4 linked regions of the Neurospora crassa OR74A genome follow. The protein of the gene in region 2 interacts with the protein of the main gene of each other region in a biochemical or structural test. Links are inferred from orthologs where the notes say so. Each region holds a gene or a part of one and is shown on either strand. Other genes may lie near its edges. The genes, in order: pex4, NCU04370, mus-8 and NCU01225.

Evidence for each region.
Region 1: of the proteins of NCU04370 (region 2) and pex4, one has a biochemical effect on the other in vitro, tested with the Saccharomyces cerevisiae proteins (2 studies listed by BioGRID). The link is inferred for Neurospora crassa OR74A from reciprocal best matches to the Saccharomyces cerevisiae genes UBA1 and PEX4.
Region 3: of the proteins of NCU04370 (region 2) and mus-8, one has a biochemical effect on the other in vitro, tested with the Saccharomyces cerevisiae proteins (6 studies listed by BioGRID, with this or other methods). The link is inferred for Neurospora crassa OR74A from reciprocal best matches to the Saccharomyces cerevisiae genes UBA1 and RAD6.
Region 4: of the proteins of NCU04370 (region 2) and NCU01225, one has a biochemical effect on the other in vitro, tested with the Saccharomyces cerevisiae proteins (5 studies listed by BioGRID, with this or other methods). The link is inferred for Neurospora crassa OR74A from reciprocal best matches to the Saccharomyces cerevisiae genes UBA1 and UBC1.

The regions. Positions count from the first base shown.
Region 1 is NC_026501.1:3,006,247-3,013,407, reverse strand, and holds pex4 (ubiquitin conjugating enzyme), read left to right. Parts: upstream 1-3,604; 5' UTR 3,605-4,323; coding exon 4,324-4,492; intron 4,493-4,623; coding exon 4,624-4,943; 3' UTR 4,944-5,381; downstream 5,382-7,161. Other genes in the region: NCU02637 (hypothetical protein), read left to right, coding at 44-2,896; NCU02635 (mannan polymerase complexes MNN9 subunit), read right to left, coding at 6,170-6,190, 6,257-7,161. UniProt on the Saccharomyces cerevisiae protein: Catalyzes the covalent attachment of ubiquitin to other proteins. Essential for peroxisome biogenesis. Required for UBC4-independent ubiquitination of PEX5.
Region 2 is NC_026504.1:3,601,971-3,609,682, reverse strand, and holds NCU04370 (ubiquitin-activating enzyme E1 1), read right to left. Parts: upstream 4,077-7,712; 5' UTR 3,707-4,076; coding exon 3,701-3,706; intron 3,592-3,700; coding exon 3,212-3,591; intron 3,147-3,211; coding exon 1,160-3,146; intron 1,106-1,159; coding exon 371-1,105; 3' UTR 9-370; downstream 1-8. Other genes in the region: peptidyl-prolyl cis-trans isomerase fkr-3, read right to left, coding at 4,945-4,972, 5,079-5,120, 5,272-5,292, 5,361-5,421, 5,500-5,564, 5,648-5,772.
Region 3 is NC_026504.1:1,991,691-1,998,883, reverse strand, and holds mus-8 (mus-8), read right to left. Parts: upstream 3,477-7,193; 5' UTR 3,154-3,476; coding exon 3,112-3,153; intron 3,021-3,111; coding exon 2,956-3,020; intron 2,873-2,955; coding exon 2,648-2,872; intron 2,575-2,647; coding exon 2,451-2,574; 3' UTR 1,762-2,450; downstream 1-1,761. Other genes in the region: NCU09732 (acetyl-CoA acetyltransferase), read left to right, coding at 4,747-4,896, 4,958-6,100; NCU16773 (hypothetical protein), read left to right, coding at 6,845-7,193. UniProt on the Saccharomyces cerevisiae protein: E2 ubiquitin-conjugating enzyme that accepts ubiquitin from the ubiquitin-activating enzyme E1 and transfers it to a E3 ubiquitin-protein ligase.
Region 4 is NC_026505.1:3,289,085-3,296,575, reverse strand, and holds NCU01225 (ubiquitin conjugating enzyme), read right to left. Parts: upstream 4,168-7,491; 5' UTR 3,474-4,167; coding exon 3,213-3,473; intron 3,117-3,212; coding exon 2,845-3,116; intron 2,704-2,844; coding exon 2,529-2,703; 3' UTR 2,115-2,528; downstream 1-2,114. Other genes in the region: tca-8 (succinyl-CoA ligase alpha-chain), read left to right, coding at 153-319, 543-571, 702-828, 889-977, 1,060-1,649; rpt-2 (26S protease regulatory subunit 4), read left to right, coding at 4,629-4,631, 4,698-4,757, 4,872-5,681, 5,739-6,245; NCU01223 (hypothetical protein), read right to left, coding at 6,669-7,019, 7,122-7,253.

The sequences.
Region 1 (7,161 bases), on a different chromosome or scaffold from region 2:
CGTTGTTTGTGGTGCCGCGGTGCGGCTTGGGAAAAAAAACGACATGGCGGCCATGATGGGTCCCGAAGTGATGGTTGGATCGACCATCAATCCTTTTGATCATTCAGCTACCGCTTCCGACATGACCAACAAGACTCCTCGATCTTCCATTCCGCTGCCTAATCCACCCTTTGTCTTTCCTGCCAAACCGACTTCTTCGGCGCCCTCATCGTACACCCGCGCTACTGGAAGACGGCCACACTCCGCTATCGAGCCACAGCTTCCGAGCTTCTCTCTTGGTGCTGACACCGAGAAGCCCGTATCCAGATCACCTGCGCTTCCGGCCCTCCCCGCCTTTTCATTCAACCCAGGCAACCCCTTACCTCCAGCAGCGCTCACCGAGAGCTCGTTTCTCAGCCCTACTCTTCCTCCATCGGCTCCTTCTTCGCCAATGGCAATTCCAATCCGGCCCGGTGGTCATGGTCATCGAAGGGGAGGCAGCGAATTTGTTGGAGGCAGCATCCGTGGCGGAGATTCAATCACGGTCAACTTGGGTTCTAGTCCGACCAAGTCAGAAAATGGCTTGGCTTCCCCCTTGCTGCAACCAAAGAAGCCTGCTGGTCGCAGGGGTCATGCTCACCGGAGATCTGCCGCAATTTCAAGCCACGACTTGTCTTCTATCATTATCCCTCCTACCGCCAGAGAAGTCAAGAAGGACAGTCCCCCGGCTAACCTAGCGCCTGTTGATCCTCCCAAGGAACTCTCACTGGTCAGTGATGAGAAATCGCAGCCTGAGACGACAACAACAACCATGGCTGTTTCCGAGGTTCCGGAATCAGTTGCCCCAGAGGTATCGACACCACCCGCCCAGGAGCCGGTAGCACTCACGGAAGCCCAGGAATCCCCGAAGCCAGCCGTCCGTACAAGGGTTGGTTTCTCTGATACTCTCGAATACATTCCGAGACCTGTTTCACTTGTTTCTAGCGACACCTCCAGCACGGTTACCGCTCGTCCTGGCCATTCCGTTTCGGGTAGTATTTCGTCCGTCATCTCCATCACAAACGTGGAGCTGGGCTTGAACACCATGGCATTTAATTCGTCGCCCGAGCTCAATGACCGACCAAGTACTGCTGGAGCCGTTCTTGAACGGACCGAGACAGGCCAGGAGCAGGCCCAGGAGATAGTTTCACCGAGACGCCGTGGTTCCATTCCCCTTCTAGGTTCGATTTCGCCGCCTTCAGCATATACGTCGGCGACTCCCAGCCCTATCAAGTCCTCCAAAAAGTGGTCTTTCTTCGGCAAGGATAGCTCCTCAGCTTCATCTCCTACTAGGCCTTCGGAATCGCCCAAGCTGTCGACATCAGTAAAGGCCACTCCGCAGCGCTTTCCCGGTCATTCGCCCCAGGGATTTCCTGAAGAGCTGGCGGAGATGAAGCCACTCACGAAGAAGAGAAGCAAGAAAAAGAAGAAGGTCAAGACGTGGGCCGGGTCCATTTTGTCTCGGAAGCAAAGCAAAAAATCGCGACACGGCAAGGGATTGAAGCGAACCCCTACGTCTACTTCTCGGCGTTCCTATAGTGTGAATGAATCAGCTGTTGACGTGCTCTTTGAACCGGAGGCAGTTATGCCTACAGTTCTGGTGACGGAATCAATCGACCCCACTGCGAAGGACTGGGATTCATACAAGCCTGCATCCCTTCCTGACGAAGAGACGTCATATCAAATGATTGATTTGGACGCAGCATTGGGACCGTTCAATACGCCCCTCCCTCGCAACCCAGAGTGGGAGGCGGCCCAGAGAGCGGGAGGTACTGTAAAAAAACAATTGCACAGCGCTGCGGGTTTGAGGGGCTTTACTGGCCCTGGAATGCATTATCACAGACGGGCTGAGAGTGCACCCGAATTGGTACCTTTCGAAGGTGGTCGTTTCGGCTTCCCTCGGTTCGGGAGCAGCTCGACCATGGCTGATGTCTTTGAGGAGGACGAAGAGGAAGACGAGGATGAGTCGCCCAAATCTACTGGACAGTCAACCCCTGTTATGGAGACGTCCCTGGCCGATACTTTTGAGGAGTCGAAAGCTTCTGCGAAGGATAAGGATGTCGCGAAGTCCACTGCTGATGAACAACGGGAAACGGCAACCGAATCTGTTGCTGTACCTCCAGGAGTAGAAACCGACGAGGATGGCAACGCCTCCGTGAAGTCTTCAATCCATACAGGGTCTCTGGGCAGGCGGTCTCAGGATGCGTTTCGACATGAGACATCCGTCACTGATTCTCCCCGTCCTAGCTTCAGCGGATACCAGAATGAGCTACAGGCTAGACATAGCTTCTCGGGTTCTGCGACTCCTTCGCCCAGGCAGACCTTCCGTCCCAAGGACCTTGCTGTAGTTGACTGCAGTCCGTTGACCTTGCCTGCTGCTGTGTCATGCGCACCAGTCAGTCCTCACTCGATGACCCCGTCATCAGCCTTCCCGTCTCCCAGGTCTCCCTTATCCTACGACGCCCATCGCATTTCGACGGCACCTTCATCCATCACTGAGGACAATTTCCAGTCACTGCTTATGGGCGAACCCGGACCAGAGGTACGGATCTCGGTGGATGATGTCCCATCATTGACCAGCGGCGACTCGTCAATGACTCGTGAGAGCTTCTTTGCGCAAAACCCTCAGGCTAGGCAGCTATCCTCCAACACGCTGCCTAGGCCTGCCTCGTTCAGTGCCTCTGCCTTTGGTCGAAGGCGATCGAGTCTTGCTAGCCTTAGCCGTCTTGTTAGCAGCTCGCATGGTGAGCGCAGCAAGCTCTCGATGGAGGTTACGGCGACTGATGACGGATCAGAGAAGAAGGTCAAACCCAGCAAGACCAAGCGGCTCGGCCGGTTTGTACAGTTCTGGAAATCAAAGGAAAATTGCGAGGCTTAACGATATTTTTCAGACGAAACTAGCTAGGAGCATGGGTGTCAAGGCTCTTCTGTTTTAATGTGGCGCTAAGTACGGAATTTTGGGGATCTAGATGAGATTTATTGGAGGGCTTTTCGACTTGACGGATAGGGCGTTTTTCTTTTTGACGATAGCACGAAGGACAAGATAACACGAGACGAAGGGGAGCAGCAATAGCAATCTCGGTCACACCAGAAATTTGTCTAGGGGACGAGATGTTGATTTCTCGAGGAATGATGTGGTTAAGGGACATATGATTCAAAGGTGGACGATGACAAATCTTTTTGTGATTCTATGGACATATCATTGCAAATGTCTACGATCGACTTAGGGTGGAAGGTTTTGATCAGGTGAGCTTCAAACGCAACACGATTATTAGGCAATTCAAACCATGATACCATGCGCTTAAAACGTTGCTATTGTTTATGTCGGTGCCTTTCTGTCTGTGTGGTCTTGTCCATTCCATTGGGGTAATATGGATTGCCGTCCCAGAAAACGAATAACGGCACTTCAGCCTCGGCTTCAGCGACACAAAGGGTTCTTGAGTTTCAGCGCGCCGTAGTGACGCCGCCAAACGGGTTTCAACCACTAGGGATCCGCATCTACGGAGCCACGTAGCGGTAGATGCAGCCGCCGGAAACGCCGATGCGCAGCTGGCCCGTCAGGGGTACCCCGATCAACCGCACTGCGGTGGCAGCAGCAGCAGCAGCAGCACCTCTGTGGGCACAGCACTTTGGACACCTTGACATCAACAAACAATACCTGAGCCCTACACGACCGACGATACGCTCTTTTACGAGATCCAGCTACACTGAGTGGTATTGATCACGGTTCGCCCACCCGTTACAGATCGATCATCGAGGACCGTGCACCAAGAGTCGCTTTACACACGGACAGAGCTATACCGATTTAGCGACGACACCACAGTCGGCAACTGCGGTGCGAGAACCATCCACTTCACGGACACGATTTCCAAACGAGGATACGCAAGTCTATTCCCCAAAGGGCTCCCTCGTTTCTCGTCGACCTGCTCTCAGTTTCAAACGCGGGTTTACCTCTGTGGATCATTTATACTTTCATAGCGTACTACCGAGTACCGAACGACCGACCACTAGCACTGGCGCTGGCGCAACTGAAGACTCGACCTTACGGATAGCATTGACGAAGCTTGACTAATCTCGTTCGTTCGTGTCTGTCTTGCTCTTGGATAAACGAGTCGGAATCACATCAAGGCACCATCGGGCAGCTCCGTTGGAAACGCTGAACAAGGAAGAATAATTATCCCTACCAAATTGAGAGGACACTCAACTATCATACAAAGCGCTACAGAACAAACAAACCGGAGTATACGTTACATACACCACAGACAAGGATACACGCATACACAGACGTACACATATATATAAACAATGTCTAACCGCAGCGCAGCCAAGCGCCTAATCAAAGAGCTCACGACCTGGAGCAACATCGAGTCCAAAGAAGAGAAGGGCGTCGAGCGGTTAGGTCCCATCAACGACGATGAGTTGTTGATTTGGGAGGCCGTGATTAACGGGAAGGGGGTAGGTGGTGGTTATGATGGTATGTCTCTTATCTTTGGTTTTTTTTCCCCTCCCTCCCTCTTATCCATCCCCCTTTCCCTTTTCATGTTTACCTCGCCCCTTCTCCCAAAAGAGCCTCCATTGTTAACGATAACACACACAAATCTCCAGAAGGCCGCTGGCTCCTCCACATAACCCTCCCACCGACCTACCCCCTCCACCCACCAACCATCAAATTCATCACCCCCATCGTGCACGCCAACGTAGCCCTTACCACGGGGGAGATCTGTCTGGACTTGCTCAAAGAAGCATGGACGCCCGCTTACAGCGTTTTGGAGTGCGTGAGAGCCATCAGGCTGTTGTTGAGCTGTCCAGGCATTGACAGTCCGCTTAATGTGGATGTCGCGGCGCTTATAAGGCAAGGGGATCATGTGGCGGCGAGAGGGCTGGTGGAGTTGTGGGTTGAGGAAGAGAGGTATGAGGGGTCTTGAAAGAGTTGGGCAGAGGGCAGGGATAGAGGTGTAGAATGTACGGGATGGATGGAGGGGAGAATGTAAAGAAAGGGTATAGGGGGGGGGGGGGGGGGCTGGATTGGATAGCCGTGGGATGGGAAATAGACCATTGGATTTATTTTGGCTAGTAGCTCAAGCGGGCTGTGGAAGCCTCTTACATACGAAGAGCGCTTATGAGTATGTCATGTGGCTCTGCTCCCTCCAGGCAACAGATGATATTTCATGTTTCCAGACCTTATGTTGCTGTTGTAGCGAATCTTCCAACATGCCAGCCAACGCCTGTGGGCTTGGTATAGATCATTCCTGAGATATACGCTTAGATATCAGGGGCAAGTGGTATTGGTACTCGCCACAGCCACGTTGCTGCCATGTATGAACTTGTAGAGATGCACAACAACTGGACACTTGTGCAGTGACTGGTCATGGTTCCTTACTATGTATATACAAAAGAAAGAGACATCGCTCCAAATCATCGGAGATGGTCTATGCTTACTGTATTAGAAAATGGCTACGGTTGTTAGTCACAAAAGAACAGAACAGAGCGATATACCAACCTGTACTTGATGCCAGCAAGGAACCTAACCGCAACCCCTTACTTTTCATTATGCTATTAGTTTAGGAAAGATGAACTTCAAAAGTCCCCTATGTTTCCTCGCCCATAGTCTAGTATATATCGTCAGAAGTCGTCGCTGTACCCTATGTCTTTGGAAACTTGACCAGATAAGGTTTGTTATAAGATTCCTTGCCCCGGTCGCTCAGAGCTTTTGGAGTTAGCAAAGAGCTCTTCTCTCGACAACGAGCAGACAACCTTGATCATCACACAAGGTTGCGTCTGGCACATCACACATCAGACGTGTATTTGAACCGCGCCCTCCAGCTGTGCACTTTTCGCTTCCCACATTCCTTCCCATAACCCAGAACTCATCAAAAAATTTACAAGAACTTAGAAGAACGCCACAGTTGCTGGGCCTAGCAACTCTGGATGCTGTGAAATTGAACATCTCCAAGGCAGAAAATTCCACTGTTACTAGCCAGACTCTTGCCTATGGCCTTAGGCAGCTCGAGGACGAATGAGGAATAGGACAAAGGTTGAGTAGTCATCTCTGAAGGCCCAGACACTACGCTGTCATCGTCAAAGAGAGACTGTTATTGCGTCCAGTGGCGGCTTAGGATACGCGGTGTAAAACTCGATACCGGCAAATGTTTCACTCGTTGTAGTGATAAACCTAATGTTTCAGTGTTAGTCCGACGTATCCCACCTTGACATGGCGCACAGCACACACAAGACGCACCTTGTAATTGGGCAAACCAGTTGCTTGCCAGCCCAGTCTTTTGGCCATTTTGGCAAAGCCCTCCGTCTCGATCAAGTGGTAAAAGGGGAACGCGGGGAACATGGCTCCGTCACGGTGCACCTCGGCCTTCACCAGCAACGCCGTACCTCCTACACCATCCAAAGGCACTTCGGTGTGTATATCCGCACCCGCCTCATACATGTAAGCCATCAGGGCCCGGTAGGTTGCCATGTCGGCGTAACCTTCGAGGAGAATGTCGTCCTTGCCCATCTTAGAAGCCAGCTCTTGCGCGGTCGGGCTGTCCTGCCAGTTGTTGAAGTCATAGGGCCGCTCGTCCATGGCCTTCTTTTCCGCGTTGTAAAACCGCTGGAAGCAGTTGGGCACCGTGAGCGGCTTGCTATGGCTGGCAAGATCCTGTATGAGAGTAGGAGGTGTCTCGATGATGTCGGCGTCCAACCACAACACCCACGATGTGTCGGGCCCGAGAGTCGTAAAGAGGAGCGAGTTGCGGGCTTTGGCCATGGCAGCCCGGCGTGCCTTCTGATTTGCCATCTTGTGGCGCTCGCTCTCATCCTGGGACGGGATGGGCGGGTCAAAGTCTTGTCGTAGGATGATGATGCTCTTAAACCTCTCCTTCTCGAGTCCATGCTTCTGGATCTTTGCGATCTGCTTCTGGAGCTCAATGGTGGCCGCGTTACCCTCCTTGGTCTTGGGTAGAATAAAGCCCAGTGTGATTAGCTCGTGGGGATACGAGAGCTTCAACAGGTTATCCCAGTACTCCTGGTAGAAGCGGGCCATGGGCGTAAGGACAAGGACGTTCTCGCGGTTGCCAACGGGGTCGTTTGTAATGGTGACATTGTTGAGGTTGTAGCGTGTTACTGGTGGAGGACCTGCTTTGCCGCCGA
Region 2 (7,712 bases):
CCATGTAGCGAGGTTGATATGTCAATTATGAGTATCTGAACGAGCCTTGGAGAACTTCTCACGTGGTACATAATGTAAGACTATATTGATACAAGTAGCTGTCCTCTCTTTTGTAAGACATGATTTAATCACTTTCCTGGGACTCTTACTTCAGCGTTTCTATCGTCATCACCTCATCCTCACCGGCACTAAGCCAGACTCCTTCTGCTTCGAATTCATGTACACCTAATGAAAAAGGATCATAAACCAAGAAGTAAAAAGTAACGTTCTATTGACTTGACTTTGACTGTATTTATTCATTCACCCAAAAAAACAGCTCATCTGATATCTACACCGTCTTCCACGCCAACCCTTTTATGCCAATCATCATCTACCTGATCCGCGCTTTGATATAAGGAACCTCCACATCCTCACCATCCGCATCCTCGGTCACCACCTCAAAGATCAACTCCTTCTGATGCGCCGGAATGGGCTTCTTGCTAATCGTCTCCACCAGCTCGCTGAGCTTGAGAGTATAGCGATCCTTGAGCTTGGCAGGCGGGAAGAACGAGGCATACAGCAAGCTGACCCCGGAACTCAACATGGAGATGGACAGACCGCGCTTCTCGAAATCGTCAATCAGCTCCTGCAGGGTAATGTCACCGACCTCGAAGCGGTCCCAGATCTTGTCGAGCGTGACCTTGCCATTGGGGCCGTTGTACTCGACCTTGGGGCTGGCGATGGGCTCGGAGAAGCCGAAGAAGGGCAGGGCCAGGTTGATGAAGCCGTTCTTGTACTGCTCAATGTCGGTCTTGCCGTCGATAATCTTGTACAGCTCGAGGACGACGAGGCCGGTAACCAGGGCCGTGGTGGTGGCGATGGCGGGAATGATCTTGCCGGCGATGAACTTGGTCTTGTGACGGTCGGCAGGCTCAATCTTGTAGTTCTCGGCGCGCAGGTTGCTGGCGGCCGTGATGAAGTCGATGTGATAGTTGGTGTCATCGTCCTTCTCAAACTCCACAACATTGAGCTTGAAGCCAGCAAGGGACTTGGGCTCGGGGAGCTGGGACTTGAGGTTGCCGAGCTCCGATTCGTCATCGAAGGCAGTGTTATCTGCGTTCGGGTCCTACTTTCAGTTAGCATCATCCCCAACACACAACTCGTTGTGGCAAATACTCACAGGTTCCTTCTCATCAGCCTGAATCTTGACATTCGAGTCAGGGGAGAAGTCAGGCACGATCATACCCTCCAAAGCCCGGAGGTAATCAGCCTTGCTCTTGCCCTTGGCATTGATACTATAGTTGAAGGCATGGAGGTTGGTAGCAGCCTCGAGGAAGCTAAAGTGGGTGGGGTTTTCAGGGTCGAACTTGAGCGGGTCAGGGGCGCGCTTGGGTCCGGACCAGAAGGGGGTACCGGTCGAGGACACGGAATCCTTGGGGAAGTTGTAAAGGAGCTGCTGAATAGCGTTGTTGTACTGCTTCTCGAAGAGCATGCGAGCCCATTGGACACAATCCTCAAAGGTGAGCGGGCGCTCGTGCTTTAGGAAGTCCGCCAACATCTCCAGCGTCGCCTTCTCGTTGCCACTCTGCTTCAGGGTAGTGTCGAGATAGTTTGGCTGGGTCAAGTAGAGGTTGACGGTCTCCGCAGGCTTGACAAATGAGCTCTCGAACAGCTCACGAGCCCAAGCAATGGTGTGCTCGATCTTGTTGGGGAAACTCCTGAGAGTGCACATGGGGAACGACTGCTCAGGAGGATCCTGGGAGGAAGAGTAGGACTCAGTGAGCCTAGGAAGCACCACTTGCGTGTTGCCCTTGGTGCCGAGGGTACCACTCTCAAGGAGAGGCTTGTGGAAGAAAACGCACCGTCTGTCGACATACGTTCTCGCCTCAACGTTGTCCAGCGCGTTAGTGACGCCATCCAAACCCTGCCAGAACTCCTCATTGAAGATCTCCTCGGTCTCGGGACTAACGCGATCCTTGAGAGAAACAATGTGGCCTTCGAGGTCAGGGTTCATAGCTTGCGCGGCCTTGGCCGCGCAGTCACTCTTCATCTGACCAACGTCCTTGGGACGGAACAAGAACTGTCTGTTCAAGTTGGACTTCTCGATCGAGTCCATATCGGTAACGGTAATCTTACCCTCAGGGCCTGTTCCGAGACCAATCATGGCCCAGTTCTTGAGCATCTCACAGCCAATGGCGCCAGCGCCAACAAGGAACTGCTTGACGTTCGAGATCTTCTCCTGAAACTCCTTACCAAAGACCGCAATCTGGCCGTCATACCTGCTACCAGTGGGCGCACAGAGTTCCTCGGTGCGCTTGGAGTTGGTGGGAAGAGCCTCGAGCGCATCGAAGTACATGAACTGCTTAATGGGGTGGAACTTGCCCGAAACAGCCTTGAGGACTTCCTGGGCAGTAAGGCCACCGAAGAAAGCGGCCATGGGGTTAAGGTCACCAGTAGCCTGGTAGCTGAGCTCCTTGAGAAGCTTGTCGTCGAACTCGACGTCAACACCCTGCTGCTTGGCAAACTCCTTAGCCGAGGCGATAACCACAAGCGCATCCTCGTCGTTCATCGGCCTTGGTAGACGTCCCTGAGACTTGGCGAAAGCGTGGAGAGCCTGGAATCCAATATGAAGCTGCTGAGGGCGATCGAACTTGGCGAAGTCGGAGATGACAAACTCGGGATCCTTGAGCGCGTTGGTAATGCTCTTGAACTCGATGGTCTTGGGCATTTTGACCTGCTGGTAGAGACCGCCCTTCTTGTACTGGCCAAGCCCCGACACGTCGCCGATAGAGAAGGTGTAGGGGCCCTTGACGGTGACCTTGCGGGGCTCGCAGCCGTTGAGTCCCTCCATACCCTCAACCTCCGAGAAGGTCACATAGTCGCCATCCTCAAGTCCATGCCTGGTCTCGTCAAGCGCAGAAACGAGACCCTCCTCGTCGATGCCAGCCACGATACCGTTAACGGGGTTTTCGCCGTTCGTGTCCATGACAGTAAAGTTATCGCCGAAATCACAGAAGATGCCGCCAAAGAGACCGTGTGTGTTGACAGCAATAAAGTAGATGCCCTTGGAGTGGCAGTATTCGCCGACAATAGTCTGGAGATCGGTGTGCTGGTTCGTAAGGACGACGACTTGGTACTTGTCAAACTGCGACAGGTTATCGGCGAGACTGTACAGAGGCCACGGTTAGCTACCGAACCTGTCAAGCTCACTCCCGTCCGGTTCATAACCTACCTTGGCGACTGGTGGATGTGAACGGGGGTATAAGCATTGAGCTCAGCAACGCGGGGAGCGGTGACCTGGTCGCGAGGCTTGCCGACATCCTCAGGGCGGAGGAAGAACTGGGCGGAGAGGTCGGCCCAGGCGGCGGGCTCGGGGTCGTGGAGGGTGAGGCTCTTGACGCCAGCAAGGGCCACGTTCTTGGCGATCTCGACGCCGAGGCCCTTGAGGCCGACGATGAGGACGTTGGAAGCGCTCATGCGCTTCATGGCCTCGTGGCCCAAGACATAGAGCTGGCGACTGTAGAGGGACTCATCAATCTCGGCCGTGGTGCCGGCTACTGATTCGTCGACTTGCATCCTGGTGACAAGGTCGACCTCGTTTTTCTGAGTGTCCTGGGAGATGGGCATCACGAAAGTGTCAGACTGACTGGCGCTAGCTACCAGGAACAAGCATCTGCCATCCCAAGTAGGATTCATGTAGACAAACGGGGTTTCAACTCACTGTCATGGTTCTCTTTAGAGAGATGGGTAGGTCCCCTTCGGATACTTTGCGCTTCCCCAGCTTGGCGACTGTTGATTACGGGCGGGCCGGTAGATTATAGATGGTGGAAAGTTCGTGACGCAAACAGAGCAAAAACAAGAACGAGAACTGAACCTAAAGTTGTTGATTCGCAGTGGTCGGGTATTGTGATACTTCAAGTTGGCGATGTTGGTCCAAAGAAAACGCCGATGTTGTAGTTGAATGACTCGGGAAAACAGACGACGGATCAAGCGCAAGTGCTACTATGTCGTACTATGTCAAGGTGCAAGTGCAAGTGCAAGTGCAAGTGGAAGTGGAAGCTGTCTGTAATCTGGAAGGTCGGGCGGCGGGGATGTCGAGGGAGGTTCGGTCAGCCCCGCCACCAGCTGTCAAGCATCAAGGAGAACTGCGGGGAATGGTGATGTGATGCACTGTCCGTCGTTGGCCAAGCACCTACCGCTGCAGCGTGCAGGTCGCTGTACTGCTGTTAGTGCAGTGTGCTGTAGCCTTCACCGTATGCGGCCTCGCACCTATTACTAGGTTGTACGTCTGGAAGTGGCTATGCTAGCTATGTACCTCTAGGTACCTCTACCTCGACCCAACCTCGTTTCACACTGGCTGTGCCCTGTCTCCTATCTGATCGGATAAACCTTGACTCAGAGTCTCATTGATGCTGAAGGGAAGCCAATATGTATTGTGGTTCACGCGCGCATGAACCTGGAAGGAACCGTGAGGACAGCAATAGAAGGATCGAATCATTACTAACACCCCTGGCAGTAGACGGTACGAGGCGGTCATGCACTAGAGGTACTTGCCCGATGTACCGATGGCGGTAAAACGTACTTGGTACAGTAAGCAAGGACCAGCCACTCAGCCCATCCGGCAGGCAACTTGTGCTCTCTTATCGTAGTGAGCCAATCACATTCAATGAGGCGCTTGTAGGTACTTCTCCATATTAACATAGCTGCGCGGGTACTTCAACCTTCCCTGTATCGCTTCAACCTCCCGTCATTCAATTAATTCCTCGTCTTTACCCATCAAGGTTCCTCGCAACGTAAACACCAACCATCTGTGTTTTCGTCATCGCCATCACCGACATAAAATCTATCTTCCCAAAAGAACTTCAAGTTCCAGTGGTTTCTTGCCCAGCGGTCCCTACTTTGGCTCGTTGGAGGCGTTGAACTAAGGACCTCGTCTCCTTTTCCCGAGATCAGTGAACCGCCCAGCTACTGGAGACCCTTGAGATATACGTCACTATCACATATTAGCTCGTATCCTTGCTGACGCTATCTTGCCCGCCGCTACCTTGACTGTAGAGACAAGCTGGAGCAAGATATGTGGCATACAGGAGACAACTCACAAGATCAAATCTGCGTTCGGAGGAATGTGGCCGTGAAAACCCCTGGTGTGCAATAAGTCGGGTCAGCACATGGGCATTAACTCCAAATCAGCACGGCCAGAAGTATCGTGTCTGCGGGTGGTGTTACACCATATAGACTGATTTTTTTGGATTTTCAGAAGAAAGAAAAAAAAAAGGCCTGCAGGTTACTCACCGCTCTCCGTATCCGTAATCACTAAAACATATTGTCTCGTCAGTATCAATTTCTTCCCCTGACACATCGTTCACTCACGAATAACTCACCTAGAAATATCCAAAGTGGCTTTCTCGCCAACCTTCATTTTCAATACAGCCTCATCCCATCCTATGCCCGTCACAAAAGCAGCACGTCAGCATAAAGTCTCCGATATATGAAAAAAGTGGACCGATGGTGGGCATATACCTCTGATGAGTCTCCCAACCCCGATTTGCGTGACAAAATCCCCACGACCGATCGAGCTGTCGAATCTGGATATAGTGTTATCAAAACTGACCAACAACCGGAGACGTGTGTGGTAAGGCAAGATTTTTCAATGGGGAAAAGAACATACTCGGCTCCCTTTCCATCGGCCTGGCTCGAGTCCTTCAGCCAACCAGTATACTCGATAACCACGGTCTGGCCAGCTTCTGGTTGTGGCCCGGTACCCGCAACGTGAGTGATTTTGTTGACACCCATTGTGTTGTTCTTGCTGGCAGTTTGTTTGTTTGTTTGTTTGTTTGTTTCCTTGCTTGCTTGCTTGCTTGCTTGTTGTCTGTGTCCCGAAAACAAGTGAATGGCCGAACAGGAGATATCTCTTGACGTATGTCGTCCGTTCTGGTCCTTAGTTTATATACCCAGCTCTTCGACCGATATCCCCTTTCTCCGATCTCCGACTTTTGGCGTTTATTTCTTTCCAACTCGTCCACTTACCTTACTCGAACCTAATCACAAGTCTCCGATATCCGATCACAACCTAACCTTTCTCCAGATATCGGTATTACTGTTCGATATATATTGTCGATCTCCGATCGTCTTCCCCAATTTTCACTAGCTCACTACTAGTGAATGATCGACTTCTCGGCCGACCTTGACCCTAGTTTGGTCCACACTGCTGAAGAACGACCGGGTGACTGACATCAATTTTCCTAGCCAAGCGTGGACAAGGGATGCTTCGTGTGCTGGAAAAGGGGTGCGAATAAGAAAGCTAGCGTGGTGTGATGAGTCTCCGAGACGAGAGGGATCGATGAGCAGATGTGAAAAAGGTTTGTCAGCGCTGAGGTAAATCGGGGGCTTGGCCGTTAACCAAACACCACGCGGAACTTCCTGATGTTTTTCCAACCGAACCGTGAGAGACTTCCTTAATGTGACGTGACTTGGGCATCTGAACCAGATCTCGATCGCGTGGGGTCTTCCAAGGGCGGATCCGTTCTCTTCTGGAGCCTAAGCAGCGTTCCCTAAAGTAGCCGAGTCAAGGGTAACCTTCCAAGTCGACAAACTATTGGGACCGGGGACCTCAGGTGACAAATCCAACGGCGTGACTTAGTAACCCTGCGAGGCAGATCCGGCACCTAGTGAGGTAAGGCAAGGACCCAGCACAACGGTAGCAATGCCTGGAAGCTTGTGATATCGACTGTGATGGCAAGCAGCACCGAGTCTAAGGAGTGGTGGAGATGAGCCAGGACGACGTCACGTTTTTTTCTTTTCTTCTTCCTCTCGCTAGGCCGGAAGGAGTCTAATTTCAAGAGAATGACCCCCAATTAGAGAGAATGAAGAAAACAACCGAGCAGAAGCTGACGAATATATTCCAGGGAAAGAATGGCGTCCAGGACGGTGTCTGGGGATGACTTGGTGCTGGCTTGCCGTTTGTGGCGCGTGAACGAATGAGAATGGAAGGAGAAAAGGCCGGTGAAAGTGCCCAAAACAGAGATGACGATCCACCCATATTTGAAGGAAATGTGGAAGAAACCAACATGGATGATGCAGTTGAAAACCTCAGGCTCGTGGCACTTGCCCAGTCTTGTTTGTATCTTTGGGACCCGGCCTGGAGTGTGATTTCCAAGTGAGATTGGTCGTGGAAGTGCGCATCGGGGAGGAGCTACCTTGCCTTCCACTTGGATGATCGGGTAGGGAGTGCTCATTGGGAGCCAAATACCTTGCCGCGAAATTTGTTATGACTCGAAGATCTCATCTGCATACAAGTCGGTAACTGGCATATGTGGTCTACGATTCCATCTCTGCGTCAATCCAGATTCGGACCCGGATGGTGTGTATCTTGCCGCGTGGGCGGTAAGGTAGATGTAGCCCTGACTCTTGACTTAGAGCCTCGCATGTCGCGTAATACAGTCTTTGACTTGTACCATTGAGCCCTGGGAGGGTACAGTAGACGGCCAACGACCCCCGGGCTGTTACCTTAACACACCACCTAGACAAATATTGATCTAGTAGATGAGTACCCGTGTGTGATGTGATCTGAACTAGTTTACTGGAAATGAGGACGGCTGGTTGTGACCAAAAAAGGGGGGGAAGGAATACCAACAGATCTTTTCTCTGCCGCTAAACCCCAGAATTTTGGAGGTAGGGCAATCAGCACGTCTGCCATGAATGAGTTAGTGAAACTGCCTGACCAAGCTATAAGC
Region 3 (7,193 bases), about 1.6 Mb from region 2:
CGATTCCCTTGCAGCGCTGGGTAGCGCACTGTCATGAAAGGCGGCGCGGCCGATGTTGTCGGGGAGGATGGGTGGTGGAGTGAGGGGGAGAGAGGGGGGGGGAGAGGGGAGATGGACAAGGAGCCCGGCCGCCTGCAGCAGAGAGATAGAGAAGCAGGGTCTCGGTCAGTCGGGGTCCAGGTGTCTCTCCGAGTTGGATCCGGATATCACAAAAGGTGACGAGTTCCGGTTAGGCGCGTGTTCTCGTCGTCGTTTCCCTCCTCCGCGGTCCGTCGTGAGCGGTGGTTGTGGTGTGGTGCAGTTGCGGTGCGGTTCGCGGCTGCGGGTGCGGTGTGAAGAAGGGCAAAAGGTGAAGGTGGGCTTCAATGTGACACACTACTCGCCCGCCGAGGCACGTTGGCGTTTCGTTAGGTAACTGAACCCCTTTGGGCCGCAGCGATGGAAGAAGACAGCAAACCTAAAGCTACCTATGCAGAGCAAAGCAAAGCAAACCTTGAGGGCTAGGCGAAAAGGCGAACGTGTGCAGAATGTGCAAAAAGGGGCTGAAAGGGGTATCCGCAGCTACTGTCGCCGCCGCCGTATGTTCTCGTCGAGATGGAAGGGCAGGAAGGGGTACTCATCACACGTGTGGTCGGTACCCAAGGCAATTTAAGGGTCTAGAAGAAACCGAACAAATGTCGAAACGCGATGAAGATAGTGGGGTCTTGTCGGTCAGTGCAGAGTCGCAGCCTGAGACGCAGTCTGAACGGTGCGCAGCCAAGGGCGGGAGGGGTCCTGAAAGCGAACCGCTGCCAGTCGTCGCCAGTGGACGACTCCCGTCGGTTGTGCCTGCTGCCCCTGTCCCTTTACCTAACAACCGGAGCGGGACGGCACTCGGGGCGGCTGGTGCTGCGAGGCGGACTGCGAGACCAGTACCTTTACTTACCTACCTCTACCTCTGCCTCTACCTCCGAGTGTAAGGTAAGTACCTGCCTGAAGATTGAATGCCCGTTCGGCCAATACTCTCGGGTGCCATGGAGGAGATATTTTCATCAATTGTAGAAATATTTCAAAGCTTCAAACAGGATTGGGGGAGGCTCCGCCCGAGGGTACCTACCTCTAGTGTACATGGAAAACCCCAATCTGAAACCCATTCCCTGAGGTAATTTGATCGCACGTTTCTAGCAGACTCAAGTGGCACAAGTATACAAGCCAGTATTCTTGGAGATGCCCGCCCCCTTTCCTGCTGTTCGAGTTGCCTATGGCCATTTCTTTGCTCTTTTGGGTAACTTGCAATCAATTTTCAAGATACCTCTCTACGTTGTCAATTCGAGCTTTCAAGAGGCTACCGCTCGCTGTAGGTAGAGGAGCCTAGCCAAGTTCAGCTACCCACAATATATAAACAACCTCACCCCTCATGCAGATCATACGCAAAGCGTCAGTCCTACAACATAAAATCGTACCTATGCAAGTTATGAGAAGTCTTCCAAAAGAGCCATGTAGAGCTGGGTAAGTCGGACCAGGACGTACCATACAGACTTGAGAACCTTGTTTCCAGATTGCAGGGTTAAAAGTGTTCGGAAGCCACGTACACTAATGCTCTCTGACGGCCGCCAAAAGCATCTGACAGCCCTTTAACCCTGCGTTTTCTGGGCATTTACGATAGAGGTAGTCAGCCTGTCTTTCACTCTCACAGGGACCCTTGCATCCAAGGTATGCCTGTTAACGTGAGCGTGTATTAAACAACGCCGCAGTTCGAAATGTGCACGCTAGACTTGACTCTCAGCCTTAGGTATAGGTGATATAAATCATGTGGATGTAAGGCACCAAGCGGGGTCATGTACACTTTCGTCAAAGAAACAGAGGAAAGCTGAGAAATGCAAGACTCTCTGGAAACTCGTACATCTAAGCCGGCCGACATAACATGGTGAGCTTTTTGCAATGAAAGACACTATGCCATCTCTTCATCTCTAAGACAAAAGAAAAGAACGCTATCTAGGGCTTTTTGGGGTGAGTTGAGGTATCCAGGGACTGCCCTCGCCAGATGTGCTTGTGTTGGTATGATACGAGCGCCTAAACTCCAAACCCGACAATCGCCCTAAAGAGTGAGAAAAACCAAGCACTCCCGCTCTCTCCATTGCAGACAAGCAGGCTGACTCTCAGCCATCAATAGGCGAGAGATGCGGATATTTGAAATACAACAAAAACGCCCCGAAAGAACGACGCCTCCCAAATGCAATGTAATATCACGACATCCGTTCCACCCTCACGCCCTAAAAGGCCAAACCGCCGGGTATCCTCGAATGTGGATCATCTCGCAACTCGTCGTCGGTCGACAACTGACTGTTGATATAGCCAAGAGATCTGTATCGAACAGCCCAGTGAGCAATATCAACACCGACTTGCAGCACCCAGATCAATCATTGGCTTTTTGCCATTGAGGGCCCCGTGGTGATAAATGTCGTCACTATTCAATCCTCCCAGCTCTTCTCAACAGTTTCCCGGACCCTCTTGTGGTATTCTTTGCGGTTGTCCTTGTATAGATTGGAGGCTTCGACGTTTGCAGGCGATCCTGTGTTCGGGTCATTGAGCAAACTAGTCAAGACAGTTTTGTCAGCATAATAACACAACGCAAAATGAACGTCAACAAGATATTATGCAGTCGTACCTCTGAATACTGGTAAGAACAGCCGCGACGTCGTACGTAGGACTCCAGCGGTTCTGAAGGATATCGAGACAAAGTTCGCCAGTGGCGTAAACATTGGGGTGGAACATCTCGCTGATGAACTTGACCGAAGGAGGCTTATTGGGATACTGCTCCTCAAAGTGCATCACCAGGCGGAAGGTGCCATCTTCGAAGGGCGTATCGGCGGGTCCGATGATCACGGCGTTCCTATATGGAGACTCATGTCAGTCATTGCCATGCCGGGGGTCGACCGCCCATAACGACACCGCAGCAAAGATCGTTCTCCTTACCATGTCATAACATTATCGGGTACGGGAGAGGCGGAAACACCAGCGGGAGGATCGGTTTGCATGCGCTGTCGAGGAACATGGTGAGTATATTGTGCTCATGGCGGCCAAGTCATCAAGCGGTGTGAACCCAACGGGGTGGCTCATGATGTCTCGCACCTTGAAGTCTCGCATGAGCCGGCGGCGGGCAGCGGTTGACATTTTGGCTTTGGTGATGGATGATGAAGTCGGCCCAGGCGTATGGAGAGAAAGCTACAAGGTTGATGGAGTACGTAGGATCGATGCGATACTTTGTTCGAAGTCGAGATGGGTTTCGTGGTTGGAATAGCGAAGAGACAATCAAACGAACTGATTTGAAGGGGCGGAGATGAATGACGGAAACCAGCAGAGCCAACAAGTGAACGCGCATTAACGACCGCTATCTTATCATACCCAACTGATTGCCCGGAGGGGGGCGTCACAAAGAAGCTAGGAGAACGCGCGCCGAGGGCAGGGGCAATGAACAGTGACTGCCCCGGTTGACAATTGCCGCCGGATTGTTAATAGCACTTTTCTGATTCTCGGCCAATTACACTTGGGTATGAAGCGACTGGTGGCTCGTGCGCGAGGTGACTGCCAGCTGATGGAATGGGATCACACAGTCACACACCTTCTCTCACGCCACCGCCGAATGGTTGTCCAGCCAAACATCTAACTAATCGAACTGACAAATGAATCCCAAGAAAACATCAGAAATTGTAGCATGACAGCCAATTGTTCGGGTTGAATCAGTGATTTGATCAAGCTGTCTCCTGTGGCATCCCCCGGCAGCTGCCCGAAAACACTTCAACGCCGCAATAGGATCGTTGCTTGGAACCAACGCAACATCTCAAACATATCGCGTTGGGAAGCTCGGCTTTTGTTCCCGCGTGTAAAGTGGTTCGCTTCTGCCCAACATCCAAAGACGCGCGCGGGATGGCAATTGCAGGGACAACCGCGACTGGGATAGATTGTTAAGTGATGCGAAACGACTCTTGAGCGTGCAGTGCCCTGGCCTTTTGATCCCTGATTTTATGCGGGCAGTATCCGGTACAGCTAGGTATGATGCCGGCGCTGGGCAACAGGAGGCTGCGGAAAGAGTGAATGAACTGCTTGGAGAGCATCCACCCCCGAATCGATCCGTTGACCGTTTCCCCTCCGCTACGGCTTCAACTCTGGCTCCATCTGATGTTTCTCCATCCGCCCGTGGGTACGGCACTCATGGGCTCATGACCCAAGCAGGGCATTCTTCAGTTGTTGTGGATGAGGAGCTTCCCCTGTCGGTCAGCGGCAGGCTCCACGGGAAACCCCGGATACCAAGCTTCTGTGTCCCTTGCGCCCGTTGGGGTCCCCGCGGAGGAACCACGGTGGCGGCCACTGTTTGGCGCTCAATTGGCGGGGTGAAGCATCGCTTTGGTGTGAATCCTCTCCACACATGTACCGTCACAAGCCGACCGGTGCCATCATGGCATCTGACAAGTTCCGAGGAAAAGAAAGCGGGAAGGAGAGGAAGAGACCACCTAGCTATCGCCTCCCCAACTGGTAGTTTTATTAATCATTTTTAAACAATAGAAGAAAGTCTTCCCTGTGATTCTGTCCCTACTCCCAATTATTTCCTGCTCCTGTTTTTGTGTTGCCTCTCCTGTTGTGCTGTTGTTCATTCCCCGTTCGGCCATCTTCCTTTCTTCCTTCTCGCCAGATTCCCCTCCGACATCTGCGCTGTGCAGTACCGCCCCTACGTCCTGTAACTCATCGTCACCAGCTTCCGACATCAGAATGGTTCTTAGCCACGCCAGGACAGCCGCTGGCTCGGCTTCGCGCACTTCCCGTGTCGCTTGCGCTCGTCTTTTTTCCACCCAGTCTGCTCTCCGCCAGCAGATTCAGGATGCCTACATTCTCAGTGGTGTGAGGACACCAACGGCCAAGGTAAAGCGCTCCGTAAAATCAGCCATTTCCACAACACAGCGCTTGTGCTAACGTCTGCCAGTTCAATGGCTCTTACACCACCGTTCCTGCTCCCAAGCTCGGTGCCGTTGCCATCAAGGAGGCCGTCAAGAGGTCGGGTATCCCCGTTGAGAAGATCACCGATGTCTACATGGGAAACGTCCTCCAGGGGTCTGTTGGCCAGGCACCTGCACGCCAGGCCGCTATCTTTGCTGGCCTTTCCCCCAACGTAGAGGCCATTACCATCAACAAGGTGTGCGCTTCCGGTCTCAAAGCTGTTGTGTTCGCGGCGCAAAACATCCAGCTTGGCCTAGCGGAGGCCCAGGTCGCTGGTGGTATGGAGAACATGACAAGGACGCCGTACTACGTTCCACGCGCTAGCGGCATGCCCCCCTTCGGTCACATCAAGATGGAGGATGGCATTATCAAGGATGGGCTGACCGACGTCTACAACGAGTTCCACATGGGCAACTGCGCCGAGAACACTGCCAAGAAGTTCCAAATCTCTCGTGAACAGCAGGACGAGTATGCCATCCAGTCGTACAAGCGCGCCCAGGAGGCTTGGGCTTCCGGGAAGTTTGCTGAGGAAGTTGTCCCGGTCACCGTTCCGGGCAAGAAGGGTGACAAGATCATCGAGGTGGATGAAGGCTACAACGACATCAAGCTGGACAAAGTTGCCACCCTCAAGCCTGCCTTCGTCCGCGATGGCACCGGTACCGTGACGGCCGCCAACGCCTCCACCCTCAACGATGGCGCCAGTGCTTTGGTTCTCGGCAATAAGTCGCTCGCGCAAGAGTTCGGCAAGGGCTCAAGGGTCCTTGCCCGTATCGTCAGTTCAGCTGATGCCGCTATGGATCCCATCGACTTCCCTATTGCGCCCTCTAAAGCGGTTGAGCTTGCCCTTAAGCGTGCCGGCATTAGCAAGGACCAGGTTGCCATTTGGGAGTTTAACGAGGCCTTCGCCGCGGTCATCAAGGCCAACGAGAAGATTCTGGGTCTCGAAGGCGCTGTGGTGAACCCTCTTGGTGGCGCCATTGCCCTTGGCCACCCCTTGGGTAGCTCTGGATCCCGCATTCTCGTTACCTTGCTTCATCAACTCCAGCCTGGCCAGTACGGTGTAGCTGCTATTTGCAATGGTGGAGGTGCGGCCACTGCGATGGTCGTCCAGAGGATCGAGTCGGTATAACCGGGAACATTGTGGAGTTGCGGATGGGTATTTGATGAATTTTTGTATAAGGATGAAGATTTGCAAAGCTTTGGAGTTGGTTGGGCTTTCTTTCATGTACAAATGGTATGATGCGCTGCCAGAAGCAGGGCCAGTCTGCACATAGTTACAGCTGCATCTTGTTGGGTCAAAGCGACAGAATGTATTTGAAGAAGTAAGGAAACTGCAGTGCCATGTTGTGAGCTTGATGATCTGGGTGATGCTGTAAATCCACAACTGAGCATATAAGTAAACGTGACCAAATTCAACTCGTGCAACAAAGATCCCAGGGTATTCACAGTTATAGCGTTCGGGTTAGGGTTTAAGCGTCCGGTCAGAAGACGAACGCGCCGCATTGAAATCAATGCAGCACAGTGCAAACACACTCACCTTAACTTCACCTTTGAGATCGCGCAGCTTCACCGAAACGGTCTGCACCTTTGTCTTCAGCAAATCAAACATCGAACAAGAACTACAACAAGTTATTTATTGCATCATTCGGCATTGTTACTCCAGCTCTAGCTTTTCCGCGACTCAAGTATCAAAATATTAGGTTACGACGATACATTACGACGCACCCCGCCATTCATCCTTCTACAAGATCACACTGACTTTCGCTCTTGGTGTGTGCCCTGGCGCGGCCGGGCCACGACCTTGGAGGAGGAAGCTGGGTTGAAAGACAACCTGACCGGTCACGAGCGCGTCATCTACAAAAATACCACAGCTATGAGCCTCATTGCGGAATTTCTGACCAGCATCCGCGGGTTCGTACAAACTCAAAATGGTGACGAGCTCCGCAACTGGCTGCTCGTCGAGCCGAATGTTGCCGCACATTATTATGAGCTTGGGCAACAACTAAGGTCAACTTGTCCCCCTAATTCTGACAATATCGAGAAGCTTGTTGAGAAGCATTTGCCAGAAGAAGATGACGTTCCAGAGGGACGAGGCTCGCCGTGGCCTGGCTTCAATTCGTTCATGGAGGAGTATTTGAAGTACTGGCGCGATGTAGACTTCAACGACATCGTCAAACTTTATGGCCGGCTCAGCGACCTGCTCATATCATGTGCAAATGCAC
Region 4 (7,491 bases), on a different chromosome or scaffold from region 2:
AAACTGGAAACGAACAACAAAACCCCCCCTCAACGACATCATCGGCTCCATTGTTGGCTCTCTCGCCCATAATACTGCCCTCTCCCTCCCCTTTCCTCCGGCGCCCTCCTCATTCCCACACTATTCTTGCATTCTTGCCCACAGATTTCACAATGCAGGCTATCGCAAGGCAAACACGGCCCGCGGGCAAGCTCGTCCAGCAGCTGTCCAAGAGAGCCTACAGCTCCAACTCGTCCCCCTATGCGGCGACCATCAACAACCTGAAAATCAACGGCGACACCAAGGTTCTCTTCCAGGGATTCACGGGCAAGCAGGGAACGTGAGTTAGAGCTACCTCCCCTGCCCGAAATTCCCCGTTCCCCGTTTTCCCCATTGCGCCCTGCTTGTCGTGACTCGCGACGCCGATGACACGACTCGGGCGCATCTGGGGAATGCTCCACCTCCACCAACTGCCCATGATCACAAGCTTTCCAAGACCAGGACACCATTGGATGTGATTAATGCTGCGAATTTGACTTGGCTGACGATGGCTCATTGTACAGTTTCCACGCCCAGCAGGCCATCGAATATGGTAAACCACCACCCTCAACCACCCACCACTGCCACCATTCCCCTCGCTTATCTCCCGCTTATCGGTACCGATCTTGGGTCGCAAACTGTCGCAAACATGGAATTCTGACGCATTTCGCCCTCTGTTCTAGGCACCAATGTTGTTGGCGGCACCAACCCCAAGAAGGCTGGCCAAACACATCTTGATCGCCCCGTCTTCTCCAATGTGAGCGAGGCTGTCAAGGAGACCGGTGCTACTGCCACCGCCATTTTCGTCCCGTAAGCACTCTCCGAGATACCAGCCTTTGGGGGCCTTACTAATAGCAACATCGAAAATAGCCCCCCTCTCGCCGCTGCCGGTATCGAGGAGGCCCTCCAGGCCGAGATCCCCCTCGCCGTGTGCATTACCGAAGGCATTCCCCAGCATGGTCAGTACAATGGCTCACAAGGACGGCGCGCAAGCGGATGAAAGCGAATTTTGGAAACCAGTGATCTAACCGGGCGTTGCAGACATGGTTCGCATCACCTCTATGCTCAAGACTCAGTCCAAGACCCGTCTCGTCGGTCCCAACTGCCCTGGCATCATCGCCCCCGGTCAGTGCAAGATTGGCATCATGCCCGGTTTCATCCACAAGCGCGGCCGTATCGGTATCGTCAGCAGATCTGGCACCCTCACTTACGAGGCCGTCAACCAGACCACCCAGGCCGGCCTCGGTCAGTCTCTTGTCGTCGGTATCGGCGGTGACCCCTTCAGCGGTACCAACTTCATCGACTGTCTCAAGGTCTTCCTCGAGGACGGCGATACCGACGGTATCATCATGATCGGTGAGATTGGTGGTTCCGCCGAGGAGGAGGCTGCCGACTTCCTCAAGGAGTACAACACCAAGAACGGTGGCAAGCCCGTCGTCTCCTTCATCGCCGGTATCTCCGCTCCCCCCGGCCGTCGCATGGGTCACGCCGGTGCCATCGTCGCTGGCGGCAAGGGTGGTGCCGACTCCAAGATCAAGGCCCTCGAGGCCGCCGGTGTTGTTGTCGAGCGCTCGCCCGCCAGCCTCGGCAAGGCTCTCCGTGATGAGTTCGTCAGACGCGATTTGCTTTAAGAAAAGTTTGAAGGGGTTCATGTTTTAATCTTTCGAACATTTTCTTTTGTCTACTTTGAGGCGGACATATGAATAGTCGCAGCAGCCAGCCAACCAGCCATACAACCAAAACATCTTGTCCATGTCTCCTCTGTCTCTGCGCACGGGTAGTCTTGTATTTCTGGTTCGGCTTATCTGCCGACCTGGTCGGGGCCGAAGGCACAGTCAGAAGGAAGCAGGGAACGCGGAGCGTATTGCATTTGTGACTGTGTCTTGGGATGACAATTGAAGCCTGATAGAGACATTTGGCCATTGCTACTGGGAGTGGGGACTGGGCGTATACCGTGTGGTGCATTTATATCCCTTTCCGCATCTTGCGACGTTCTTGTTGATAGAGGTGAAACCAAGGAATGGGTGTGGGCGGTTAGGTATATTATACTTTCCATTTATTCACAACGTCACATAAACATGACTTACCGACCTGTCTTCGCCTATTGGCTTGAATGCGCCATACACTTTGTATAGATACGCTATCACTTTGCTAGCTACCATGTAAAGGAGGACGGAAACTCCGAGCAACGGGAAAGTGAGGAATCAGTAGTAGAAAGAAGCCAGAAATTCCATTGCTCCATTGACACCCTTGTCGTCCGTAAAACTCCATATCCGAATGCGGCTGATGTATAAACTAATAACAGACGAAGCCGCGCCATCCTACCACCGAATAAACCAGTCGAACGTCGGCCTCAGCTGCTGCGGTTTCCATCCTTCGCTTTACCTGTCCGCTTTTAAAGTCCATACCGTTCTGATTTCCATAATGCTGATCGGTAAAACCATACCACCACCTCATCACTATACATAGCCGTGTTTGTTGCTCTCATTGCCCGCCCTCACTCTCGAATGTCACTGCTCGCCGAGGAGCCGCGCAGTGATATCGCCCATGTATGCTTCCTCGAGTTCGTAATCGGCGCCTCCGTTCCGGTCAATACCCACAAATTTAAAAGCATCGACCACCTTTTCTACGTCGAATCCCATGTTGACAAAACGATCCACCAGGTCCTTGTTATATCCAGCATATCTGTGTTGGGTTCGCCAAGCAGGCTCTCAAGGTTAGTCGCCTCTGACTTTTATTCCGGGTTTCCAGTAATGCATTGTCCATATGGCTTTTGCTTAACACAAGGTGGTTCACTGCATCGGGATGGTCAGAAATGCCACGTACCTGCTAGCATCGTTCCTTGAACCTTCCTTTGCGGTCTCATCATACTTGAGAGGAATCTTGTCCACCCTGGGCGCGCCGGCATACTTGACGGCCCAGTCGTGTGCCGTTCGGGCGAACAGCTTGGGGTTTTCCATCAACATCTTGGCCACCTGGGCGTCCTGGGGATCCTTCGGGTTTGGCGATTCAAGAAGCATTCGTACGGCAAGCAGCGCTGTCTTAATCGTGCCGACCGGGGACCATGCTGTTCCCAGAATGTCGAGGCAGATGGCGCCCTGTAAAGACGTCGGAGGGTTAGTTGAGCTCTCCAAACTCCACCTACTTCCTAACATCCATCATAAAACAAGGGGACAAAAACGAGAGAAACGTACAGTGACACTGCTGACGTTGGGGTGCCAGATCTTGGTAATAAGATACATCGAGGGCGGCTTGAACGGGTACTTATCCGGAATCTGAATGTCGACCTCGTATGTACCCCCAGCATAGGGCGAGTCTGGAGGGCCGCTGAAGGAGCCCTTGAGGTGCGACAGATTGCTCGAGTCGAGAGGTTCGGCCATGACGCCCGAGGTCTCGCGGTCATTCCATATATCCTGCAATTCCTTCGCAACGCGGCGCTCACGAGTAGTCGCCATGGTCAAGTGATGGGGTGTTGGTGCAGAGGAAGGGAAGTGTATTGCGCCCAAATGGGAATGGGAGTGGGTACAGTATATGGTTTGCTGTTGGACGCAAATAAGATGGTAGGAAGTGGTGTTCAGCGAAATAAGTGAAGTATAACAACGGAGTACTGATAAGATTAACCTTGTGGAGGGGTCAAGGAGGCCCGTGAAATGATGTTGCAAGGTGAGACGGGAGGGTTTCTTCAGTGATGGAGGAGCTGGCAGTGGAACGAACGACAGGACGTTTTAGGTTTTCTTCCGCAACTGATCGAGGATTGGCGAACCGGGCCTGCTTAGGTACCGTAGGTTATTTGTGAATGCAAGGCTGAAAGAGCATTCGCTGACAAGGTGAGATGGTCGTCGTCACTTCCTGTCGAGGGAAAGGAAAGCAAAAAGGCAACTTCAAGAGTCAGGTGGGGAGCAGCGTCCGTAGAGGTACCCAAGAGTGCCAAGAGTCAAATGCTCACATAACCTAATTGGCGAGCGTGGTGTTCTTCCTAGTGTTTTGATCGCCTCAGCCACACCTTGCTTTATTTTTTAGTATAGTACGGGCAAGGTTGAGGACGAATGACCACTGTCGCCCTCCAATGTACACAAAGTTGCGACGGGATAGGATGGAAGCAGGAGGCTCTGGCTGGACTCGTCCCTGGGATGGTCCCCTCCCTTGCCAATGTCGTGGCCATGCGCTGTATGTATGGGAAAACAGTCCGTCATACGGTACAAGTACAAACTTAAAGCTGTGCAGCTTGTCCAGGTATGGTCAGTAGACAGATCGAATGCAAACGCACAGCAAGTGCTAGGAGCGCTCAAACGACATGCAAGGTGCTATTGCCCCCGGCAGCTTAGTAGTCTTGATGGTCTGTGCGTCAGGTGTACGACTGGACGACAGACGGATGAGGTGTGTCGCGTTCACTGGGGGCCTGAACTGGAGCTCGCCATCCCGTCGCAACTGAACCTCAAACGGGCATCCGCCAACAACGAACACCAGCACAACTTAATCGTTTCCATCACTGCCGCTGAGATCAACGAGTTCAGATCGTGCGGCACTTTTGCGACCCCATCATATAATTCTCAGCACCCCTTTGAGTCTTCCACCACACTTTCAAGAATCGCGAAAGGCGGACCGTCAACATGGTCAGTTGCCGCAATACGGAGCTGAGCTCAAGCTTGCAACGCATCGCATACTGACAAGCTGCGCAGGGTCAAAATCAGTCTGGCATGGGCGGAGGCCAGGACCCTTCAAAGTCCAAGAAAGATAAGGTAGGATGGCTTCAGTTGCGTCAAGGTTTCTGTTGTGCGCGGCATGCTTGCTGTCCTGTGAGACTCAGGCGCTGACATCATGGACATCGCTAACCACCATCGCCACCAAAACAGAAAGATAAGCCCAAGTACGAGCCGCCGCCGAAGCCTACCACCCGCATCGGTCGCAAGAAGAAGAGACAAGGCGGTGCCAGCGCTGCCGCCAAGCTCCCCTCAGTGTATCCGACAAGCCGATGCAAACTCCGACTCCTACGAATGCAACGAATCCACGATCATCTACTGCTCGAGGAAGAATATGTCGAAAATCAAGAACGTCTACGCAAGGCGAAGACCGCCAAGGACAGCAATGCTCCTGCGTCCGAGCTCGAGTCTTCCGACCGTATGGCTGACGAGCGCTCCCGTGTCGATGATATGCGTGGCAGCCCCATGGGTGTCGGTGTTCTCGAGGAGTTGATCGACGACGACCACGCCATCGTTTCCAGCACATCGGGGCCCGAGTACTACGTTAGCATCATGAGCTTTGTCGACAAAGACCTTCTGGAGCCCGGCGCCAGCGTCCTGCTACATCACAAGAGTGTCAGCATTGTTGGCGTGCTCACCGACGACACGGATCCGGCCGTCAGCGTCATGAAGCTTGACAAGGCGCCCACGGAGTCGTACGCGGATATTGGTGGCTTGGAACAGCAGATCCAGGAAGTTCGTGAATCAGTTGAGCTTCCATTGCTGCATCCGGAGCTCTACGAAGAAATGGGTATCAAGCCACCCAAGGGTGTCATTCTTTACGGTGCTCCCGGTACCGGTAAGACCCTCCTTGCCAAGGCTGTGGCAAACCAAACTTCGGCAACGTTCTTGCGCATCGTTGGTAGCGAGCTTATCCAAAAGTATCTTGGTGATGGTCCTCGACTGGTCCGCCAGCTTTTCCAGGTATGTAAAAGTGTTTCAAGCTACACTGTCAAATATATACTCTAACATGTTCCTCAGGTTGCCGCCGAGAATGCCCCTTCCATCGTGTTCATCGACGAAATCGATGCCATCGGTACCAAGCGTTACGACTCGACATCGGGCGGCGAACGTGAAATCCAGAGAACCATGTTGGAGCTGCTGAACCAGCTGGATGGTTTCGACGACCGTGGAGACGTCAAGGTCATCATGGCCACCAACAAGATCGAGTCGCTTGACCCTGCTTTAATCCGTCCTGGCCGTATCGACCGCAAGATTCTCTTCGAGAATCCCGACCAGAACACCAAGCGCAAGATCTTCACGCTCCACACCAGCAAGATGTCACTTAACGAGGATGTTGACCTGGAAGAGTTCATCGCCCAGAAGGACGATCTCTCAGGTGCCGACATCAAGGCCATCTGCTCTGAGGCCGGTCTCATGGCCCTCCGTGAGCGCAGAATGCGGGTGCAGATGGCAGACTTCAGAGCTGCTCGTGAAAGAGTTCTGCGCACCAAGCAGGAAGGCGAGCCCGAGGGCTTGTACTTGTAACATAACCGCATATTATCTGGCCTAATTTGCAAGACTTTTCAGATTTGGGCGGATTGCGACTGGGAATGGATTTGACAATTCAGCCTTGTGATGTCGATATCCAGCCATCACTAAGCGTACCTTAGTTTGAGTGAAGATGAAGGGATACCGTAGCGTTTTATCATGGAGAAAGAAGAAACTTTACGGTTGGCTCCTGTAAGGGTATGTTTTCCACGCCTTAAATTGTTGGTTCGTTGATACATTCATTGTGAAGTCCAGCTTCATGTCAGTTGTATCTACGCAAAACGTGAAGCCCACCACTGCCTCTCATCCTACTCATGTAAGCTTGACGCTGCACCTCCTACGTATGCTATCTCTCCCATTGTCACCAGGCGGCATCTAATCTATCCTTCTGCGTGTATCCTTCTCTCTATCTCTATACATTTAACCACCCTTTACTCTCCTGCTTGAACCATCATGGTCCCCATCACATATTCTCCTCCCCTGCTGATCAGCCGCACTCAAAGCCTCCACCAAGCCCATTACCCCCTCCGACCAAACCTTTTTACCATCCTTCGTATCTCGCCCTCGTTCCGGCCAAGGCACACCCCCTTTCGGAATCTCCTTCACCGTGATCCCCTTCCTCCCATAAAACTCCTCATTCGCACCCCCCTCGACACCACCACCACCGTCCCATCCATCGACTCCCCTGCATACAGCCCCCCTTGCTCCTGATATAACCGTACACCAACGGTTTACTATCACCATCATCCTTCTGTTTCTCTTCCCCTTGGTCTGAAATGGAAGAAGAGCGACCAGAACCACCAAGCACACCCTCTACCCCCGCCCCAGTTCCATCGGCCCAGCAACGATCCCTACGTTCCCACTGCGACTTACACGGGGGCGCTCAGCGAAAGCGCGCACACGGCCGAGGGGGTGCGTGAAACGCAGACGCAGTCCTAGATGTGGATGCCAGCGAGGAAGCCGGAGCCTAGGGAGTGGATTAGAAAGTCTCAGGGCGGGGACCATTTTTGACATTGGGGTTGGGAGCCGAATTGGGCGAGAGATGACGATGCCGGATTCAGAAGAGCCGGAAAGATGGAGGCCGGTGCGGGAAGGCGGTGATAACTTGCTAGGCCGGGATAGGTGGCTAGGACGCGAAGGAGGGGATGTGGATGTGGATAAGGGAGGTGCGAGAGGAGCCCTGATTAATGCAAAAAGATTGAATAATCCTAGTTGTCACATTGCTGATCCATTGTTGAAGGCT